Linked DNA regions of Anolis sagrei. Each later gene encodes a partner of the first gene's protein in a complex. Links are inferred from orthologs where the notes say so. Each region holds a gene or a part of one and is shown in the gene's direction. Other genes may lie near its edges.

Region 1 (7,575 bases):
GGCAAATTCAGAGAATTATTGAGGGAATGAGGGAGATATACAAGTGGTCCTCAATATGTGGCTCCCCATGTGTTTTGATATGTCACTTTCCAAAAACTCTCCCTAACACAGCCAAAAATGTGGGATTCTGGGAGATGTCATTCTGCCATTCTAGGAAAGTAAATGTTGAGAATTATTTATTTATTTATTTGCAGCATTTGTAGCCCGCCTTTCTCAGCCTTACAGCAACTCAAGGCGGCTTACAAAATTGGCGGAATTTAATGCCAATTTTGTAATTGGCATTTTGTAATTGGCATTTTAATTCATAAAAATACAGTTAAAGCATTCAACCTAATATTATAAAAGCCATATAAAACCATTAAAAACATATCATCACCAGTTAAAACATTATCCAGCAGCATCGTCTAGCCATTCCATGTTCATTCTTCCTATTTCATAATTATTTATTCCGCTGCATTTCCAAACAAGCACTGATCTAATCCAACTGGCTGCTCAGCACAGAAATCTTTCCATTGCAACTGTCTTGGTAACTGCTGAACCACTTCTTAAATACCTCCAGTGAAAACAATCCACCACATTCTGAGGCATCTCTTTCCATTGTCATGTTGTTACCATTAGGACATTTCTCATCCCAAACACCAGACTTGTAAATCCACAGAGCTACAGAGGCCCCCTGGTGGCACAGCGGGTTAAACCACTGAGCTGCTGAACTTGCTGACCGAAAGGTCGGTGGTTCAAATCCAGGGAATGGGGTGAGCTCCCACTGTTAGCCAAACTTCTGCTAACCTAGCAGTTCAAAAACATGTAAATATGAGTAGATCAATAGGTACCGCTTCTGCGGGAAGGTAATAGCGCTCCTTGCAGTCATGCTGGCCACATGACCTAAGAGGTGTCTATTGACAATGCCAACTCTTCGGCTTAGAAATGGAGATGAGCACCACCCTCCAGAGTCAGACACGACTATACTAAATGAAGGGGAAACCTTTACCTTTATAGGCATGACCTATGCAGCCAAGATTGAACTGTTCATCTACTTGATGGAACCGTTCAGCTCCATACTACGTTGGCTGTCAGTGAAAGTTATCTCAGGCTGGATCTTCATTTCCCTGTATCCCAGGATCTGATCTCAGATTATCTGTTTATTCCAGATTATCTGAGTGTGGACTCATATAATCCAGTTCAAAGCAGATAGTCTAGGATCAGATTCTGTGATATAGCGCAGTGTAGATCTAATCCAGACTCAGAGTATCCCATCATTGTCTCAATGTTGTTCCAGGACCTCCAGAAGTTGCAGTCCAAAGGAATAATTTTTCCAAGCTCTGTTCCCCACATGATTCCCCCTTGTATTAGTAGAAAATGGGAAGTTTCATAAAGTAAAACCAGAAGGTGAGTGGAAAGTGATTTTAAACGTCGGATAGGACTTGCATACTTTCAGAGTCAGCCAGTTCTTCTGTGCTGTAGAATTATTAAGGCTCAATACCATGGAATCATAGTTGGAGATGCTTTTATTTATTTAACGTGTCAGGAGCAACCAGACATTTGCATTACATTTTTAACAAAACAAACAAACACACAGACAGACAAAACACAATGTTTGCAAGCTTGATAGTTGATTCAATGTCCTTTGACCAGTATCTGGCCATTTGGAGTGCCTCTGGTGTTGCCATTGTGCATGTAGCAGGGCTCAGGTTGCATTGCAGCAGGTGGTCAGTGGTTTGCTGTTCTCCACACTTGCATGTCGTGGATTCCACTTTGTAGCCCCATTTCTTGAGGTCGGCTCTGCATCTCGTGGTGCATCTCGTGGCGCCTTCCAAGCCGCACAGTTTTCTGTGTGCCCAGGGGGGAGTCTCTCTTTTGGTACCAGCCATTGATTGAGGTTCTGGGTTTGAGCCTGGTTGGAGATGCTGAGAAGCAAGAATTCTTTGACAGAGAGGGCTAAAGATTTGGTAAAACGACAACTCTATCGCATTCAGCCAGGGCAGTCAAAGTGTCAAACTGCATTCATTTTACAGTGTAGAGGCACTCACAGTGACTAACATGAAAAAGAACACTGACCCAGCAGAGCGAGGGAGAAGAATGAAATGTAAAATGCATGGGGTAATCAGTAATGAAGCTATCGCCCACCTTATCAGTTTATGCACAAGATCACACAGACTGGATATAAGAAATGTTGTGAAATACTGCAATGATACTCTGGAATCTGTGCAAGATTATGATCTACCACCTGCAAAGAAATAGTGGGAACACAAGAATGAAAGAATTGTCAGAAATGTTGAAGTAAACATCTTAGCAGAGAGCCAACATTGTGTTCGTGGTTTGAGCACTGGACTCCAATTCTAGAGACTGGGATTTGAATCCCCACTCAGCCATAGAAAGCCATTGGATAACCTTGGGCAAGTCGCACTTTCTCAGCCTCAGGAAACTGTGATTTCTTCTGCTTAAGGTCAACATAAGTCGGAAACAACTTGACACCTCTCAATAATACCTAATAGACTGTGGTGCCTCGGCACTACAGAATAAATGCAGTCACCACTTGAGCTGTGATGGTTCAACATTATGGAATCCTGAGATTGGTAGTTTGGCAAGCACTAGCACTCTTTGGCTGGGAAGGTGAAACTATAACTCCCAGGTTTCTACAGCATTGAGCTATGGTGGTTATAGTGTAGTCAAACTGAATTCATTCTAAAGTGTTGAAGCACCCTGACAAATAATAGTGTCCTTTGGGTGGGAAACATCTTTGCAGATGACAACTTTGAACTGCATTGGGTCAATGCTATGGAAGCGTGGGATTTGTAGTTTGCTGAGACACCAGCACTCTTTGGCAGAGACTGCTAAATGCCTTGAAAATGTGCATTTTTTCCATGTCAGGAGCAACTTGAGAAAGTCGCTTCTGGTGTGAGAGAATTGGCCATCTGCAAGGACATTGCCTAGGGGGTGTTGTGGGAGGCTTCTCTCATGTCCCTGTATCAGAAACTGGAGCTGACAGATGGGAACTCACCATGCTCCCTGTGGTCAACAGTCCTGCCGGCAGGGGCTCCTTATCTCCACAGTAGAATGAATGCAGTTTGACACCACTTGAGCTGCCATGGCTCAATGCTGTGGAATCATGAGAGTTATAGTTTGGTAAGCCACCAGCACTCTTTGGCCGAGAAGATTACAGAGCGTGTAAAAATACAGTACTGTGTCTATTTATGATGCACCAGGGTTGCCCTCTCTGCCAGGCAAGGCCTTCTCTCTGTGATCGCTAAGGGTGTACATTGATCTACTCACATTTGCATGTTTTCGAACTGCTAGGTTGGCAGGAGCTCCCCCCGCTCCCCCGATTCAAACCACCGACCTTTCAATCAGCAAGTTCAGAAGCTCAGCAGTTTAATCCAATGCACCACCAGGTTTATTTACTGTATAAATAAACATAATAGTAGTAAGGGGGCCTCTCTACTGCAGAATGAATGCAGTTGGACAAACGTTAACTGCTCAATGCAATAGAATCCTGAGATCTGTAGTTTTGCAAATCCTTGAGCCTCCTCTGCCATGGAGTGCTGGTGCCTCACCAAACTACAACTCCCAGGAGACTTGAGAATGCTCTTTGAATGTGGGTGAACTATAAATCCCATTAACCACAACTCCCAAGTGACAAAATCAATTTTTTGAGTGATGGTCACTCCTTGGGTTAGTAGGGTCTTGTGCCCAAATTTGGCAGCAATTCGTCCATTGGATTTTTAATTATGTTACTCATTGTTTGGATCCACATGTGTTGGTGTGGCCCACTCTGGTGGTCATGTAGGTTCTGTGTGGGAGGTTTGGCCCAATTCTATCGTTGGTGGGGTTCAGAATGCTCTGTGATTGTAGGTGAACTATAAATCTCAGCAACTACTACGCCCAAATGTCAAGATTCTATTTCCCCCAAACTGCACCAGTGTTCACATTTGGGCATATTGAGTATTCGTGCAGAGTTTGGTCCAGATCCATCATTGTTTGAGTCCACAGTGATCTCTGGGTGTAGGTGAACTACAACTCCAAAACCAATGGACACTGCCCACCAAACCCTTCCAGTATTTTCTGTTGGTCACGGGACATTACATTTTTATTTATATAGATTTAATTTAATTAACTGCCAGCGTTCAATGCAATAGAATCCAGAGACCTGTAATTTTGCAAGTCCTTGAGCTTCCTCTGCCCTGGAGTGCTGGTGCCTCACCAAACTGCATGGCCTTGAGCCAGGTCAGATCAAGAGGTGTGGGACTGCATTGACTCCTTTTGCAGTGGAGAACCTATGCAGAATGACTCGAGAGCGAGTGCGCCAGCGCGCCCCCTGCCGGCCGAGCCTTGGAGGCGCCCCTCCTGGGCCCGGGGGCTGCCCTTGCTTTTTCCCCCTGGCCAGGTCTGCGCCGGGTGTTTGTTTTCCTGTGCGAGCCTGCTTGCCTGCCTGCCTGCTTGCCTGCCCCTTTGCCTTTGCCTTGGCCAGACGGCGTCTGCCCCGCTCAGAGAAACTCGCGCGATTTCCTCCCCGGCCTCCCCTTATCTCGCCCCGCACGTTGCCTCTCGGTGACTAATCGCACAATAACATTGTCTCCGGATCAAATCAAAGCCCGGGGCTGTTTACCCGGCGCTCTATAAAAGCAGCCGCGGGGAAGGCGGGCCAGGCAGAAGCGCTCCGGCAAGCAAGGCAGCCAGTCAAGACTCAGGAGCCGACCCGCTTTTACCAAAAGGATACTTTACACTCGTGGGAAAAAGAGAAAAAGAAACACAATGGGGATGGATTACGCGCGGCTCATCCTTCCTCTGCTCATGGTCATGAGCCAAGGAGTTCCGCGGGCAGGTAAGAAAGAGATGCCGCAAGCTTTTCTTTTGGAGGAGATCCTTGCTGGATTTTACAGCCACCTTTTGACGGAGAGGCTGCCCAGGAAGGTGGGAAGCCCTCTGAATGGATGCAGTTTGACACCACTTTCCTGCCAAGGCTCAAAGCTATAGGATTCTTCTCTGCCAAAGATTGATGCTTACCTCACTAAGCTGCAACTTCCAGGATTCCTTGAGCCGTGGGGTCAAACTACATTCATTCCACAAGCAGGCAGGGGCAAACTTTAGTCCTCCAGGTGTTTTGGACTCCAACTCCCACCAATCCTAACAGCCTCAGGCCCTTTCCTTAAGCGGCTGAGGGAAAAAAGAAAAGGACCTGAAACTATTAGGAATGGTGGGAGTTGGAGTCCAAAACACTTGGAGGGAAGGCCCAAGTTGGCCCATGCCTGGAATAGATGCAAACCTCTGGCTAAGCAGGAGGGCAACTAAAATGATCAAGAGAACAAGCTCAATGAGGAGCGGCTTAAAGAGCTGGGCATGTTTAGCCTGAAGAAGAGAATGGTGACAGGAGACATGATAGCCATGTATAAATATGTGAGAGGGAAGAAGGAGCAAGCTTGTTTTCTGGAGACTAGGGCACGGAGCTATGGCTTCAAACTACAAGAAAGGAGATTCCACCTGAATATTAGGAAGAACTTCCTGACTTTGAGAGCTGTTCAGCAGTGGAACTCTCTGCCCCGGAGTGTGGTGGAGGCTCCTTCTTTGGAGGCTTTTAAACAGATGCTGGATGGCCATCTGTCGGGGGTGCTTTGAATGCAATATTCCTGCTCCTTGGCAGAATGGGGTTGGACTGGATGGCCCATGAGGTCTCTTCCAACTCTATGATTCTATGATAGCCTTTGGGGCCAGGGTTGCTTCACTGCTTTGTCATATTTTGAACTGAACTGACTTTCCTCCCAAGTTCACACTAAATAAAGGCCCCAATTTGAAGGAGGATGTCTATTGGGGAGGTGTGTCAATGTGTTGAAGGAATGCTCTTGGGCACTACTTTTCACTGCCACGGTTCGTCTCCAGAGGTACCAAACTGCAAGGCTCACGAGTCCATCGCACTGAGCCATGGCAGCTAAAAGTGGTGTCAAAGGGGATTCATTCTACAGTGCAGATGCTCCTTAAAGGCAGAGAATGTTGGGATCCTTCGCCTGGATCAAAAGATCCTTTTAGCTTATGGAGGTTGGGGTTGCGATGTGGCCTCAAGTTTTGCAGAATGGGGGCAGAAGGAGGGGAAGTCATAGGGAGAGGCTTGTTTTCTGCTGCCCTGGAGACTATGGACCCTTCCACACAGCCCTGTATCCTACATAATCTTAGTGTGAACTCCGATAACCCAATTCAAAGCAGATATTGTGGGGTTTTCTGCCTTGATATTCTGTGTGGAAGGACCCACAGATAACCCAGCACAAAGCAGATATTGTGGGGTTTTCTGCCTTGATATTCTGGGATATAGGGCTGTGTGGAAGGGCTCTAGGATGTGGAGCAAACTACAGGAAAGGAGATTCCACCTCAAACTACAGGAAAGGAGATTCCACCTTAATATAAGGAAGAACTTCCTAACTATACGAGCTGTTCATCAGTGGAACTCTCTGCTCTAGAGTGGGTGGAGGCACCTTCTTTGGAGGCTGGATGGCCACCGTTTGGGGCTGCGATTTTCTTGCTTCTTGGCAGTGGGTTGGACATGAGGTCTCTTCCAAGTCTATGATTCAATGGAAAGCATGAGTCCCATTTGGCTGGCACCTGGGAAGGGATATGCCTGAAGGTAAAGTTGAGCTCAGAGCTGCCCAGAATGGAGCTGGGAATGCAGTTTGGCACATGGACCAGGATGCCCTTTCCTAAATAAACAAAATACAAACCTGAAGGAGTGGGGAAACCCGCTATGATTTCTTTGGAGTGTGTCCTTCCCCGGATTAGTCTTTTTCTAGTACCTATGGGAGTGTTTTCGCAGCATCTTCCGCAGAGCTGAAAAGTTTCCAAGGGCTCATTCATGCTATAGAATGAATGAAGCCTGACACTGTCAGGGTTCAATGCTATTGAATCGCGAGAGATGTAGTTTGACAAGGTTTTGGTGCCTCATGAAACTTCAAATCCCAGGATTCCATAGTAGTGAGCTATGGCAGTGAAGTGGTATCAAAACCTATCAATGCTACAGTGTAGATGCCCATCACTGCTGCATTGTGAGAGTACTATGATTCCACTTTCACTGCCATGGCGAGATCCTCGCTTCTCAGCTAGGTAAAGATAAAGGTAAAGGTTTCCCCTTGACATTAAGTCTAGTTGTGTCTGATTTTAGGGGGTGGTGTTCATATCAATTTCTAAGCCAAAGAGCCGGTGTTGTCCATAGATGCCTCCAAGGTCATGTGGCTAGCATGACTGCATGAAGCCCTGTTACCGTCCCGCCAAATTGGTACCTATTGATCTACTCACATTTACATGTTTTCGAACTGCTAGGTTGGCAGTAGGAACCCTTGGGCATCACTAAACTACACACTTCAAATTCCCACACCATGTTGTGTGGCAGGTGAACTGGAACAACAGCAGTAGGCAAGCTTAGAGTGCTAGAACCAGTGCCACATTTAAAATCATAGAATCATGGAGTTGGAAGAGACCTCATGGGCCATCCAGTCCAACCCCCTGCCAAGAGGCAGGAAAATTGCATTCAAAGTACCCCCGACAAATGGCCATCCAGCCTGTTTAAAAGCTTCCAAAGAAGGAGCCTTCACCACACTC
Region 2 (6,922 bases), on another chromosome or scaffold:
ACTGAAACTTTCCCTTGCTACAAGTAAATTATGGAAGATTTACAAAACGCTGCATAAAATGAAAAAGGCTACATATCTCAGGGATGTTATATTTGCACCATTTCTTCTTAAACAAGATATCACAATCAAATCAATTTTTTCAATTTAAAAAATACAATTATAACATGGAGCAGGTTAATTTAAGACACTAACCAAATAAAAGCAATTTTAAAAGAAAGAAAGAAAGAAAGAAAGAAAGAAAGAAAGAAAGAAAGAAAGAAACTAAAGCAAATTAAAAGCTTTTTTGCCGCAACCATTGCTTATTGATGGAAGAAGGACATAGAAAGATGCTAGATTAATCTGGAGTTTTTCTAGGTTAAACCAGCTTTGCCCTGTGTCAGTCATTTTTTTTATTATTGTTAAGAGTGACTTGAGAAACTGCAAGTCACTTCAAGTGTGAGAAAATTGACTATCTGCAAGGACATTACCCAGGGGACGCCCAGATGTTTTACCATCCTATGGAAGGCTGCTCTCATGTCCCTGAAAGAAGCTGGAGCTGACAGACAGGAGTTCATCCCGCTCCCTGGATTCAAACTGCAGACCTTTTTGTCAGTAATCCTGCTGGCACAAGGGTTTAGCCCATTGCGCCACCTGGGATATCCTCATGTAAGTCATGAGGATGCTTCAGAGACTGCTGGAAACCAGTCCTAACAGCTGGTAAGCTGGATGGGATTTCTGGGAGCTGAAGTCCAAAATACTAAGAGGAGTAGAATTTGAGAAACAATGCTCTAAAGTATCCAGAGGTTTCAGGGCCATTGGGATGGCTGGATAATTTGGACACGTCCAATGATCCACCACCATCAACTTTTCCTTATGATCATCAGTGGAGGGAAAGGGGGATGGGTCATGCCACTGCTCACAGAGCTCTATGCGAGGTCCTGGTCATCTCTGGTGTCCCATTTTGAAATCAGCACAACCAGGAAGAAAGTGGAGAGATTGGTCCCATCTTTCGTTCCAGTTGCATGGGCACTTCTGATGTCAAAACCTCACACTATGTTGACTCAATAAACAAGTGCTCTCTGTCTTCTTCCAAATGGCCCAGTAGGCCCAAGTGACTGCATTCACTGGTTTTTCCCACAGTCCCCTCCCCTTGGCTTCTAGCCTTGTGGCCTGCTGACATTAAACAAGTGCAGCACATCTGGCAACACCTTCACACTGAGCCAATCGGTCCTGATGCCAACACATATTAGAGTAGTGCCTAAGCTGGGTCATAAATAGTGGCTTATCTGCAGCACTAAGATCACCTGACCTAGGGCAGGGTACAAATATTTTAATCAATTAATAAATGCATTTTCAGGATGAATCATCAGTTGTATATGTGGGAAGGGCAAGATGGATTTGCTTACTGTAAAAATCATGAAAAATGTTCAGTGAATGTAAATAATTATAGCATCAATATAACTTTTTTAAATGGATTTGGTTATTTGAATGTTGTAAATATTCTGTATTTCATTAAAAACTATACATCCCCCAAAAGAGGCCCTTGATTACCAGAGATAGTTCTGTATAAGTGTTTCCCATACCATGCTGACAATGTCTGTAGGAAACCAGGGAACAGTGGTGTTTCAATCCCACAGTAGGTAAAGCATGCGGCTGACAGACGATGTATGGGACAGGAGCCTTGCACTACGGAGGTCTTGTCATTGTTCAGGGTTTAGCCACACATGCTGTGGCTGCAATTAACAGATTTCCTGTGAGCTGATAATGAGCAGGTGCAATATAACTGGGGGAAAATGAATCACTTATCGCAACTACTTTGTTCCCATGCACATCCTGTGCTACCGGAACCCTGGAAACTAAGCCCTGCTAATGATGAGTGAAATGGGGATTTTTAAACTGAATTCCTTTAACCAAGCAAGAAATGCTCTCCCACAGTGATTTGCTTTTTGTACAAATACCTTTGATTCTCTGATGAACTCACTCCCAGCTAGAATCCAAGACTAAGGGCCAAGCTGTGCATTAACCATATAGTTGCATATTACTCCATATGGCAACTTCACTTTCTGTTGTATATACAAATTTGTTAAAACTCAAGTGTATCGATCCTGAACTTATGGGAATGTGAATTATCCTTGTTTTACCATCTACAAGGTGCTACCAATGGGAGTTCTAGACCATCAGAAATTCAGATTCAGCCCATGAATCTGGAAATCAAGGAGATTTCATTACATGGTGTTCCACATGGTTTTTTGTGGGGGGGGGGGGGGGTGTTGTCATTCTGCTATTGTGAACTATCTATGCTGATTCATTTAATATTTTGTCAATCTGGATTGTCTCCCAGAGCACCTTGAGTCACATTTGCTACCTTTTCACAATGGTGCTGAAATCTCAATTTGTAGGTATTTGAGGAAAGAAGATGAACTTTTTAAAAATACAGGAGAATATGAATATCCTTTGGGGTTTGGTTCCAGGACCCTCCCCGATAGATATTAAAATCTGTAGATGCTTACATTTCATTATATGCAATGGCATAATAAAATGGCATCTTTATTTTAAAAAACACCAAACAATACAAACAAGTTTCAGGGAGAGTCTGAGGATCTGTGAAATGTTAGGATGCTACAGAAGAATATGCCTACACGTCAGCATATACGGCAACATCAAGGTTTGCTTTTTAGGTTAAACAAAGCCATGGTTGGGTAAATCTGTGGATTCAGAACCCAAGGATATGAAGATCTATCTATAGAGCTGAGGAACAGTATGTTTGAGAATTATTAAAAATCATCTAGAAATGTACAAAAAATAAAATTAGAGATATACAGTTCAGAAAAGTCATATTTTGGACTACAGCTCTCGGAATCTTTCAGATAACGTCACAACTAGCCAAACTGACTGGGGCAATGGTCTCAAGGGAGGAATGTGAAGATCCAAATCTCAGGCTCCGCATTCACCCAGTAGTTCTATTCTGACCTACAACCCATCCTTGTCTAAAATCTGGTGAACAGCATCTCCTGAGATGACCCAAAATTAATAAGAACATCAGCCCTGGCCTTGTCTTACTCAACTGCTGAGTATGCCTGCCCTGTTTGGCACAAGATTGTTCACACGAAGCAGGTGAACATAGCACTGAACGAAACATGCAGAATTATCACAGGATGTCTCAAACCTACACCTGTTCATAGACTCTACACGTTAGCTGGCATTGCCCCTGGATGTGCAATGGGAAGTTGCTGCTAATTGTGAGAGAAATAAGGTTGAACACTGTGAAAGCCATCCACTGCATGGCTATCAGCCTCCTCCCAGTAGACTCAACAAGGAAAAGCTACATGAGAACCACCACTCCTCTGTATGCTTGTCCACAATGCCCTGCCTCAAGCACAGAGGAAGAATTGTTTAAAGCTCCAGGCAATGTGGTCTCTTGCCCGGTTTTGATCAAAGATTATTTAGCCGCTTGTGCTCCTTCTATTTTTATCAGTTTTATACTTATATATGCAATGCTTTCAACATGAAATAAATAATAATAATCTTCTGAGAAGATGGGCACTGCAATTGACGCATATGAATGGCAGCTGGTTGAGGACAGGGTTATTCTAACTACTGTACATATTGGCTCTCAAACATTTGTATATTTTTGAAGGAAAAAACACATGCTTTCCCTACTTGTGTTGCCCATCTATGCACACTGCCTCTGTTGCATGCCTCCACCAGCAAGACATTTTCTGTTGACGCTCTCCAGGCCTTCAGAACTGACAGAGGGGCAAGGTTGTTGCTCTCTTGGAAGGGGTGGGTGGGGTTTGACAATGATTGATGGGATAGATGTGCGTGCATGTTTTAAGAAACAGGGAGGCTGTCCCCATTTGCTAGAAATTAAGCACATAACAGTTTTCAGCTCACTCATCTCTGCTTCCCAGCTGCTACAAAACCCCCGTGAAGTGAAGGTTCCTGCCAAGGAGTGTGCAGTCTGGCTGTCTAAGACAAGAAAGAGCTTTCGCTGCTTGGAGTATTTTCAAGGTAAAGAGCAATTAAACCCATTAAAGAAGAACATGTGGTTTTACGGAGAAAAGCAGAATGTGCCTTGTTTGAATGTAATGCTCATTTTATTTCATTTTCTTTAAGCCATCCGTTTCAATGAGCTCTTGCTTGGAAGCAGAGTTAATGAAATCAGTGGGATTTGACTGACTGCCTAATGAAAAAGATTGAGGGGGAAAATAATTCCTAAGAGCTAAACACTGGAAGAACTCAAGACGCAGCAGGTCAAAGACAGTTTGCCTCAACAGGTGTATGAAAGCCTTGGGCTTCTTTTTTTTTGATGGAATGGCCAAGTCTGAATTAATTAACTTCATTAATTAATATAAACAATGCAAGAAAAAAACTTGCATTGTTATTGATGCTCCTCTGGTTGTTCCAAATTGAATAAGAAGGGTTTTTCTAAATCTCACATGGTTTTTGAGTTAGTACAAATACTATACTCATGTTACTGAATACAGGAACTGATTTTTCTATCCTTGTTGTTTGAATAGGGGAAAGAAACTGACTAAACTAACTCTGAATATTCCTTGCCTAAGCAAGCCTCAAGAAATGTAAAGTCCCAGCACCTTATGCCCTCCGAGATGGACTGAACAAATGAGCATATTTTTAAAAAGGCAAAATTGTTCCAATAGGGAAACTTTGTTCCTTGTTTTAAAGATGGAAACATTTTAAGGGCAACTAAATAATCAAAAGTCTGGATACCATCCTCATTGAACTGATATTGATATGGCAGTGTAGACTCAGATAACTATTGTGGATTATCTGACATCTATTCTGGGTTATAAGACTGTGTGGAAGGACTCGGAGCAATGGGTTCAAATCACAGGAAAGGAGATTCAACCTGAACATTAGGAAGAACTTCCTAACTGGAAAAGCTTTTCAACAGTGGAACTCTCTGCCTTCGGGGCTTTTAAACAGAGGCTGAACAACCATCTGTTGGGGATGCTTTGATTGGGCTTTTCTTGCATGGCAGATGGTTGGACAAGATGGCCCATGTGGTCTCTTCCAACTCTATCAATCTATGATTCTATGAGATAACTCTAACAAAAATATTACAAAAGCCATAGGATTTAAAGTACTTTAATTTATGTACTTTAAAAAGTAATAGGGGTATTATTGCCCAAATGAGATATTGGTTTATTATTTGATACACAACAAGATTAGTACACAGCAAACAAGATAAGCAGGCTTTTGTATTTGCTCACATGTCAGACACATCCCAAGTGTCTAGGACTGTATGATGTATCAGCGAATAAGGCGTGCAGATCTGAGTAGAGTAGCCTTTTGCAGCTGACAGATGGCAATTTTGTCAGCTCCAATTGTTTCTAAGAGCAGGCCAAGGTCTTTAGGCACTGCAGTCAGTGTGCCCATCACCACTGGGTCCACCTTGACTGGCTTGTGCCAGAGTCTTTGCAGTTCGATCTTTCAATCCTCATATCGTGTAACCTTTTCTCAACAATTCTGCTGTCATCTGGGATTGCAACATCAAAGATCCATATAGCTTTTTTTTTTTTTACATGATCGTGAGGTCAGGAGTAATGTGCTCCAAAACTCTGTCAGTCTGAATTTGGATTTCTCAGAGTAGTTTATTATTATTTATTTATAAATAATATGAATATTATATATAAATATATTATATTATATATAAATATATTTATATATAATATAAATGTATATTATAATATTTATATTATATATACTTTTATTCTATATAAATATATATTCTATATAAATATAATATTTGTATTATATATACATTTATATTATAATATTTATAATATAATGGACTCAGACCATGAACTTGTATGGCATGTTTCTACGTTTTTAACTTTTTAAATCTGTTTTAACTCTGTTTAATATGTGGCAATTTTTGAAATGTTTAAGTGATTGTGTTGAGGCATAACGTTGGGCCATTGTAAGCTGCCTTGAGTCCCACTGTCGGGGTAGAGAAGAGCGGGGTACAAGTATGGCAAACACACACACATACATACACACTAGCTGTCCCCTGCCATGCATTGCTGTGGCCCAGTCTGTGTATATATGTTTTGTGTGTATGTGGTTTTGCACATACGTTGTAAATGTATTTTTATTTTTGCTTTTTAAGTCCCCTCTGTTGTGTTTTTCAGTGTTTTTATGAGTGATGGTTACTTGTTGGCCCGATAGGTGTCTTGTGTCCAAATTTGGTGTCAATTCACCCAGTGGTTTTTGAGTTATGTTAATCACACAAACAATTATATACACATACACACACACACACACACACACTAACCATCCCCTGCCACACATTGCTGTGGCCCAGTCTGCATATGAGTGTTATGTGTGTATATATGTGTGTGCAATGTATTTGTGTAAATGTGTATGTGTGTTTGCATATATATATGTGTGTATGTGTGTGTGTGGTTTTGCGCATGCATTGTAATGTAATTTTTGTTTTTTGGCTTTTTAAGTTTTTTAAGTTGGCTTTTTAAGTTTCTTCTGCTGTGTTTTTGTGTTTTTTATGAGGGATGGCCACTCCTTAGCCTGAGTGGTGTATTGTGTCCAAATTTGGTGTCAATCCACCCAGTGGTTTTTGAGTTATGTTAATCCCACAAACTAACATTACATTATATATAGAGAGAGAGAGAGAGAGAGATAAAAATACATTTATATTATATTTATATAATATATACATTTATATATTTATATAATATACAAATATATATTATATATAACTATAATATATTATATTATAAATATTATGAGGTCAGGAGTATTGTTATTATTAGCAGTATTAGTATTAGGTCTATCTTTTTCTCTCCACAAGGAGACACAAAGCAGATTTGAGGCTTTTGCTTATTCCCTTCCAAAGCTTTTCTGTCCACCCGGGAAATTGAATCCTAGAGTTGGAAGAGACCCCCAAGGACCACCCCGTCCA
Region 3 (7,662 bases), on another chromosome or scaffold:
AATTGGAAGGGATTCCCAAAAAAGCTTTACAGCCTTTAAATGTGCTTTTGCATCAAAATATTTGGCATGAGTCATTCCATAAAAACAGGCTACCATGCTTTCCTCAAATTCTTCCCAAACAATTGAGACATTGCCCTCATTATACTAAGTGAACAATGCATATGAGGTTTTGGAGAATTCAATATGGTGCTGCTTCAGTTATGAGACAAACACTATGCCAGTTTGTAACTCTGAAGTGGAAAAGCCTCCTGTCCAAATGTGAATTAAAGATTCAGACACCAAAACAAACCAGTATTTTCTGTGCACAATCCTAAAAGAGTGGGAAACAGGAATGTATCTTTATTTTACTTGTTTCCTTTGTACAAGGAAAGAATCCCTGTAATAATTCCAAAACCAAAATAAAGTTTTTGTATCATGTAGTAAGCCAATCCTCTCCCAGACTTCAAAGGGATTTCTATATTATGGTAAAAGTTTACATATGTCACAAAGCACTTTCAAAAAGAACAGATATATTTAATTAACATAAAATATTTATGAGTAAGAAATACTGTGTTCTCAGAAATAAATAACATGTGTGAAAAAGATCCAAGTCTTACCATTACTATTATTGTGATATGTCTACAACAGGCTGCTGGCATGAAGAAATAGGGGTGAGGGGGTGGGGGATCAAAACTTCTTGATTTGATACCAAACTAGCTTTCCTGAGAAAAATAAACTTTGCAAGAGTGGACAAGGGATTTCCCGGAACAATTATTCCGCTGTATCTGTTGTTGTTCAATACAGACCAGCATTCAGAAAACTTGTTTTTGGAATGCAGCACCCAGATCCTCCAACCACATGGACGCTAAACTCTAAATCAACCTTACCTAATCTGGTATTCTTCAGATATTTTGAACTATTGGTGTTAAGGTAATCTGACACATCTGGGGAATGCCAAGTTGGGGAAGGATGACTTGGCATGGGTCATAGTGTCTAGAGATAATTTGTGTTGTCAAATAAATCTGGACAGTGACAGGCTAGATAAGGTCAATCTAAGTAATTTAGCAAGCAGATAACACTTTCAATAAAAGGAGCAGGCCCAATAAAGACATCAAACACTCCCATCTCACTCAAATGTAAACATGTCATGAAGGAAACTATTCACCACATGGAATTGACTTGGAAATCTAAGCCAACATATAAGGCGAGATCTGCCAACAAAAACGGAGTTGAAGCAAGGGAAAGAGAATGGAGCAACAGTATAACAGTGCAGTTGGCTCTGGTTGTGGTTCCTTTTTCTCTCTGCCCTTCCCTATAACTGTTTCCCCAAAGGTCATCAGATGCTCTTCCACAGGACCAATCTTGCCTACTGCCTCCCTCAGAACAGCATGCTTTCACATTTCAAGAAACCCTATATGCATAGAAGCAGTTTAGAGATAATGTGTATGAAACTTCCACATAAGTACTAACGGAAATACAGTTTTAAAAGATGGTCCCATTGACTGGGGATTCTGGGAGGTGTGACCCTGAACAGTAACCCTGCTTCTTCTTGATGCTATTCCATCCAGGCCCTTTTTTATTGTTGGAAAACTTTAAAAGATTGTATAGATGGGGAAATGCCTTCCCCCCTCATTTCTTTAACAACTGCATCCAATAACAGAATGAGTTTTGAATAGTTTGTGGTCTGCCTCATCTCTTAAACAGTGCAACAGAAGAATAGGTCTCTCCTCATATACGATACATAGATACACACGGAGAAAGAGAGAAAGAGAGAGAGAATGAGAACCTGGGAAAATATTTTGTATGTATATGAAACTGACTGCATTAACCCACCAAGGTACAAAACTAAATAAGGGGCTCATTAAGTAATCAACTTCATCCACAAGGTGCTATTTCTTTTAGATAGATAGATAGATAGATAGATAGATAGATAGATAGATAGATAGATAGACAGACATGCTATGTACAGGGTTTCCCAAGTTCCAAATTGTTTGGGAAATTGTAGCTCTTGAAGAGCTTGACAGTAGTGGCCCAAACATCTCAGACTCCTGGGATATGTTCTATGCTAGAGTTTCTACCCAAAGTGACCACAGAATCATGGTCCACTCCCAGACCACAGGAGAGGTCAGGAAATCCACTGGCCACGGTTGTAGGAGTGCAGGAGCAAAGGATATGCTATGTCATTTCTGATTTATGATGAAAAATACTGCTTAATGAATCACTCTTTCTATGCCTCCCTTTCTCATTTCCTATTTAGAGCAATTGTGATTTAGGCAATGTAAATATATGCCCTTATCATATAAAAACTGTTTCTCTAGAACTTTCCCCATTTGCTCAATAACCAACTGAAATATGTTGTCATCAACGCGTTCACGTATCTAAGCAACCAGACCATGCATCTAGAAAAATTCCAGGGACCACGTAACCCCCCCCCCCCCCATTCCTCCTCCCTCAATGGTGACTGTCATCTCTCCTGAACTCCATACTTCAAACTTTTCTTTACTGTGTCAAGGCTTTGAAAATCTATGTATATTTTTTTCTAAGTGTAAATCTCAAAGTAACTATTAAAATTATAGCTATCTAACTTCACATATGATCTATTTGTCTTACTTTGCTGAAACTAGTCTCAAAGTGAGCCAAGGGATTCAAGCTTTCCCCAAAAGCAATTTTGGAAATCTACATCTAATCCAACAGTTTTCTCTGTAAGATTTATTCAGAGGAGGTTTGCTGTTGCCTTCTTCTGAGAAAATATGACTTGCCTGATGTCTCCCAATAAGTTTCTGTGACTAAGAGGGAATTGAAGTCCCAACCATAGGAGTTACAGTTTTACAAAGTATCTATTAACCTTCTCTGCCAAAAAATGTTTGGACCGCCCCAAACTACAACTCCCAGGATTCCATAGTATTGAGCCATGGCAGTTAAAGTGGTGTCAAACTGTGTTAATTCTACAGTGCAGGTACACCTCCAGCCAGGGTCCTAGTCAAATGCCTAAACCACTGTACCACACTGGTTCTTCTTTTAACAACTCAATATTTATTTGGGGCCATGATAATGCATTCCCCAGACCATGCTGTGGTGCTTCTCATGCTCAGCTCTCTGCATGGAGCAAGAAAACACTGGAAGTCAGTCCGCACCAAGAGGTTTTGCAGTCTGAGGGCAAAGCAGCAAATGCTACTTGATCCCACAGCAAAGCTAAAATTTGGCATGATAAAGAACCACACACAGAGAGGCACATTTTCCACCTCCTATGAAGGCTATAGACATCTGTCCTACTTTGCCTACTGGTAAGGCAGTCACCTTGTCTCTCTCCTGAGGAATCTGTATAACAACCAAATGGCAACAGTAAGAACAAACCACAGAACCACAGACTTGTTTGAGATTGGAAAAGGAGTATGCAGGACTCTCATCCTACCTATTCAACTTGTATGCAGAACACATCATGCAACATGCAGGGCTTGATGAATGCAAGGCTGGGATAAAATTTACTGGAAGAAACATTAACAACCTTAGATATGCAGATGATACCATTCTGGTAGCTGAAAGTGATTCTGGCCATGAAAGCATTCGACAATACATAAAACATCTATTTCTGTTTTATTAACTATTCTAAAATGGAAGGAAAAAGGGAGAGGGGCCAACCAAGGGCAAGATGGGTGGATGGTATACTTGAAGGGACTGGCTTGACCTTGAAGGAACTGGGGGTGGCCACGGCCGACAGGAAGCTCTGGCCTGGGCTGGTACATGAGGTCACGAAGAGTCAGAAGTGACTGAATGAATAAACAACAAAAATCTTATCGAATCCAGGGAGCGGGGTGAGCTCCCATCTGTCAGCTCCAGATTCTCATGCAGGGACACGAGAGAAGCCTTCCACATCTGGGCTTCCCCTGGGCAACATCCTTGCAGATGGCCAATTCTCTCACACCAGAAACGACTTGCAGTTTCTCAAGTCACTCCTGACACAAAAAAAGAAGAAGAAGAACTTTATTTTTCTACTCCGCCTCTATCTCCCTGAAGGGACTCGGGGCAGCTTACATGGGGCCAAGCTTAGGGAACCACTTATAAATCATATATATATATATATATATATATATATATATATGAAAAGTTTTCATGAGATAATATGTTGTCCCTCCATACATTTTGCACCTGTAGTCCAACTGTCTTGTGCCAGCTGAGTTGCTGACCTGAAGACCTGAAGGTTGGCGGTCCAAATCTGTGAGACAGGGTTTGCTCCCGGTTGTCAGCCTCAGCTTCCCATGCAGGGACATGAGAGAAGCTTCCCACAAGGATGGTAAAACATTAAAACATCTCCTGGGCAATGTCCTTGCAAACTGCCAATTCGCTTACACCAGAAGCAACTTGCAATTTTTCAAGTCGCTCCTGACATGAAAAAAAAATCTTATAAATCATATAGTTTAAAATATATATACAAATGAAAAGTTTTCATGAGTTAATATGTGGTCTCCCCATACATTGTGTACCTGTAATCCAACTCTCAAACTATAACACCAAGGGGATGGGCCTCCTGCTTGCATGGAGGGCTCTGCACAGAGCCTTTCCAAGGAATCCTGGGCAGGAACTGGTTAAAGCACTTTGCCTCCCCTTTTTTGCAGAGCAGAGGCCGTCTGGGGGTGGGTTGCTCCTTCTTCTCGGACGGGACGTTGGCAGCCTCTCGGTTTGGGCTGGAGAGGGCTTCCCCCCTCTTTGGAATTGGGGAGGGGAGATGGGGAGAGGCTCTCTCCACTGGCAGAGGAGGAGGAGAGAGCAGCCATCCAGGCAGAAGTCGAGCACAACTCCTCCGAAAGAGACGCAGGCAGGAGCTCCTTCCTCCCCAAACTTGCACGTCCAGCTGGGGAAACAAATCCCTCCTCATACGGTAGGGTCTCATAAAAAAATACCCCCTTTTGTGAGTCTCCTGGAAGGGTTGGTCTCTTTGTGTTTGGACCACAGAAGGAAGGGAGGAAGGTATCAGGCTCTTTGGGAGATGCTGCCAGGGAGACTGCAGGGGGAAAGTGGCTGATCTTTCTGAAAGTGGCGGCGATTTTGAAATAGATGTGTGTATCTTGGTCTTGTGTGAAAGGAGAACGGATTGGGAGGGGGGGTGAGGAACAGTCCCTCTCTTCTGTGCCATCTAAAGTTCTTTGCTTTGTTTGAAAGTCCTTCTGAGAACTGGGAAGGTCAAGAAGTGGGAGGAAATGGCAGCAGATGCTGATTCAAGGCAAAAGCAGGCCCAGGGAGGCTACAATAGGAGGAGAGGAGATGGTGAACCCTTTCCAACAGCCTCCTTCCATTATTTCTTCCCTGCAGTTGAGGGCCCTTCCAGACAGGACCCAGATCCCAGGTTTTCTGCTTTAAACTGGAATATATGAGTCCACACTGCCAGAATAATCTGGGATAAACAAAAAAAATTGGGATCAGATCCTGGGATAAAGAGCCTGTCTGGAAGAGCCCTGAGAGGTATGAACACAGCAAGCCTCTATTCTGCCTTGGTTAGACCACACCTGGAATATTGTGTCCAATTCTGGGCACCACAATTGAAGAGAGATATTGACAAGCTGGAATGTGTCCAGAGGAGGGTGACTAAAATGATCAAGGGTCTGGAGATCAAGCCCTATGAGGAGCTGCTTAAAGAGATGGGCATGTTTAGCCTGCAGAAGAGAAGGCTGAGGGGAGACATGATAGCCATGTATAAATATGTGAGAGGAAGTCATAGGGACGAGGGAGCAAGCTTGTTTTCTGCTGCCCTGGAGACTAGGACGTGGAAGTTTCAAACTACAAGAAAGGAGATTCCATCTGAACATTAGGAACAACTTTCTGACTGTGATTGATGTTCAGCAGTGGAACTCTCTGCCCCGGAATGTGGTGGTGGCTCCTTCTTTGGAGACTTTTAAACAGAGGCTCCATCTGTCGAGAGTGCTTTGAATGCAATTTTCCTGCTTCTTTGCAGGGGTTTGGACTGGATGGCTCATGAGGTCTCTTCCAATTCTATGATTCTAAGGTACAAATTGAGCATCCCTTACCTGAAATGCTCCAAAAGGGCCACATGAACTTTATTTTGGTGATCCCTTGTAGAGCAAGGTTTTTTTTTGTGTGTGTCATGAGCGACTTGAGAAACTGCAAGTCACTTCTGGTGTGAGAAAATTGGTTGTCTGCAAGAACATTGCCCAGGGGACGCCCGGATGTTTTATCATCCTGTGGGAGACTTCCCTCATGTCCCTGCATGGGAAGCCGGAGATGACAGAAAGGAGCTCATCTGCGCTCTCCTCAGATTTGAACCTGCGACCTCTTGGTCTTCAGTCCTGCCAGCACAAGAGTTTAACCCACTGCACCACCAGGAGCTCCAAGGATGATGGACCTCCAAGTGTAATGTTTTGGAGTTGGGTCCATAGGTAGCTGTGGAGCTCTATTCTTGATCTACATGTTCTCCCACAGTGAGGAAATTAGTTTCCAGGTGGAAAGGATGGAAGGCAATGGAGAGAAGGAAAGAAGGAAGGAAGGAAGGAAGGAGAAAGAGAGAGGGGAAAGGAGTGAGGGAAGAGGGAAAGAAGGATGAAAGGGTGCAAGGGAAGGAAGAGGGAGAGATAAGGAAGGGAGTTAGGGAGGGAAGGAGGAAGGAAAAAGAAGGGAAAGAGGATGGAAGGCAATGGAGAGAAGGAAAGAAGGAAGGAAGGAAGGAAGGAAGGAAGGAAGGAAGGAAAGAGAGAGAGAGAGAGGAAAGGAGTGAGGGAAGAGGGAAGGAAGTTTTTTTTTTTTTTTGGTCGTGTCAGGACTGCAAGTTGCTCCTGGTATGAGAGAATTGGCCATCTGCAAGGATGTTGCCCAGGGGACGCCCGGATGATTTGACGTTTTTATCATCCTTGTGGGAAGCTTCTCTCATGTCCCCGCATGAGGAGCTGGAGCTGATAGAGGGAGCTCATCCGCCTCTCCCCGGATTCAAACCTGTGACCTGTTGGTCTTCAGTCCTGCCGGCACAGGGGTTTAACCCACTGTGCCACCGGGGGGTCCGGAAGGAAGGATGAAAGGGTGCAAGGGAAGGAAGAGAGCGAGAGGGAGCGATAAGGAACGGAGGGAGGGAAGGCAGAAGGGGAAAAAAGGAAGGAAGGATAGGATGGTGAAAGAGAGGAGAGCCTGAGAAAAGAGCCCAAGGGGCGCATCTGGTTCCTGGGCCTGGCTTTGCCCATACCTGGTGTAGATGCACCCTAAGAGACTGTGGCTTGCCCAAGGTTGTTGGGTGGATTTTCATGGCCAAATGGGGATTTGAACCCTATTCTCCTGAGTCTTGTCCAATACTGAAACCACTACAGCACACTTATGTATCTAGAAATATTTCAAAATTCAAAAGAATTTCAGGTCAGGGATGTTCAACCGGTAGTGTCAGCTGAGGTGTTCAAGGTCATTAGGGCAGTGAATCTGCTCTGGGGTCTAATCCAGATTTTAAAAGTGCTGTACAAAATGCAAAAGCTATTTGGGAGATGGGTTTAAGCTCCCTTTGCAACACCTTTAAGATTTCAGACTAAAACCCTGAACAATTGACTGCCGCCGAATAGAAAGACCCAGCCATATGCTTTCCATAGAGTTGCTGAACAGTCAAGAGACTATCAATTTAGAATCATCTAATTCTTAATGACTTAATGGCAGAATTTACCCTGTTTTCTTTGAAAAGGAAGGCCTTTCCTTCTTCCA

Evidence for each region.
Region 2: the proteins of EDN1 (region 1) and EDNRB are in contact, whole or in part, in a cryo-EM structure (PDB 8XWP), measured with the Homo sapiens proteins. The link is inferred for Anolis sagrei from reciprocal best matches to the Homo sapiens genes EDN1 and EDNRB. Residues at the interface, in NP_001403492.1 of Homo sapiens: Cys53, Ser54, Cys55, Ser56, Ser57, Leu58, Glu62, Cys63, Val64, Tyr65, Phe66, Cys67, His68, Leu69, Asp70, Ile71, Ile72, Trp73; in NP_000106.1 of Homo sapiens: Pro88, Pro89, Ile94, Glu95, Ile157, Asn158, Lys161, Glu165, Asp166, Trp167, Val177, Pro178, Gln181, Lys182, Val185, Phe240, Ile243, Met245, Tyr247, Leu252, Ile254, Leu256, Leu257, His258, Pro259, Lys270, Lys273, Leu277, Trp336, Leu339.
Region 3: the proteins of EDN1 (region 1) and EDNRA are in contact, whole or in part, in a cryo-EM structure (PDB 8HCQ), measured with the Homo sapiens proteins. The link is inferred for Anolis sagrei from reciprocal best matches to the Homo sapiens genes EDN1 and EDNRA. Residues at the interface, in NP_001403492.1 of Homo sapiens: Cys53, Ser54, Leu58, Asp60, Lys61, Glu62, Cys63, Val64, Tyr65, Phe66, Cys67, His68, Leu69, Asp70, Ile71, Ile72, Trp73; in NP_001948.1 of Homo sapiens: Tyr68, Gln72, Thr73, Lys74, Tyr129, Asp133, Ile136, Asn137, Lys140, Leu141, Gly144, Arg145, Trp146, Gln165, Lys166, Val169, Glu220, Phe224, Val227, Phe229, Tyr231, His236, Lys237, Thr238, Cys239, Met240, Leu241, Asn242, Gln252, Lys255.

What each region holds. Positions count from the first base shown.
Region 1 is NC_090024.1:82,602,416-82,609,990, reverse strand, and holds the start of EDN1 (endothelin-1), read left to right. Parts: upstream 1-4,468; 5' UTR 4,469-4,749; coding exon 4,750-4,819; intron 4,820-7,575. UniProt on the Homo sapiens protein: Endothelins are endothelium-derived vasoconstrictor peptides. Probable ligand for G-protein coupled receptors EDNRA and EDNRB which activates PTK2B, BCAR1, BCAR3 and, GTPases RAP1 and RHOA cascade in glomerular mesangial cells.
Region 2 is NC_090023.1:116,296,443-116,303,364, reverse strand, and holds the start of EDNRB (endothelin receptor type B), read left to right. Parts: upstream 1-3,846; 5' UTR 3,847-3,990; intron 3,991-6,922. UniProt on the Homo sapiens protein: Non-specific receptor for endothelin 1, 2, and 3. Mediates its action by association with G proteins that activate a phosphatidylinositol-calcium second messenger system.
Region 3 is NC_090025.1:48,320,395-48,328,056, forward strand, and holds the start of EDNRA (endothelin-1 receptor), read left to right. Parts: upstream 1-4,599; 5' UTR 4,600-4,855; intron 4,856-7,662. UniProt on the Homo sapiens protein: Receptor for endothelin-1. Mediates its action by association with G proteins that activate a phosphatidylinositol-calcium second messenger system. The rank order of binding affinities for ET-A is: ET1 > ET2 >> ET3.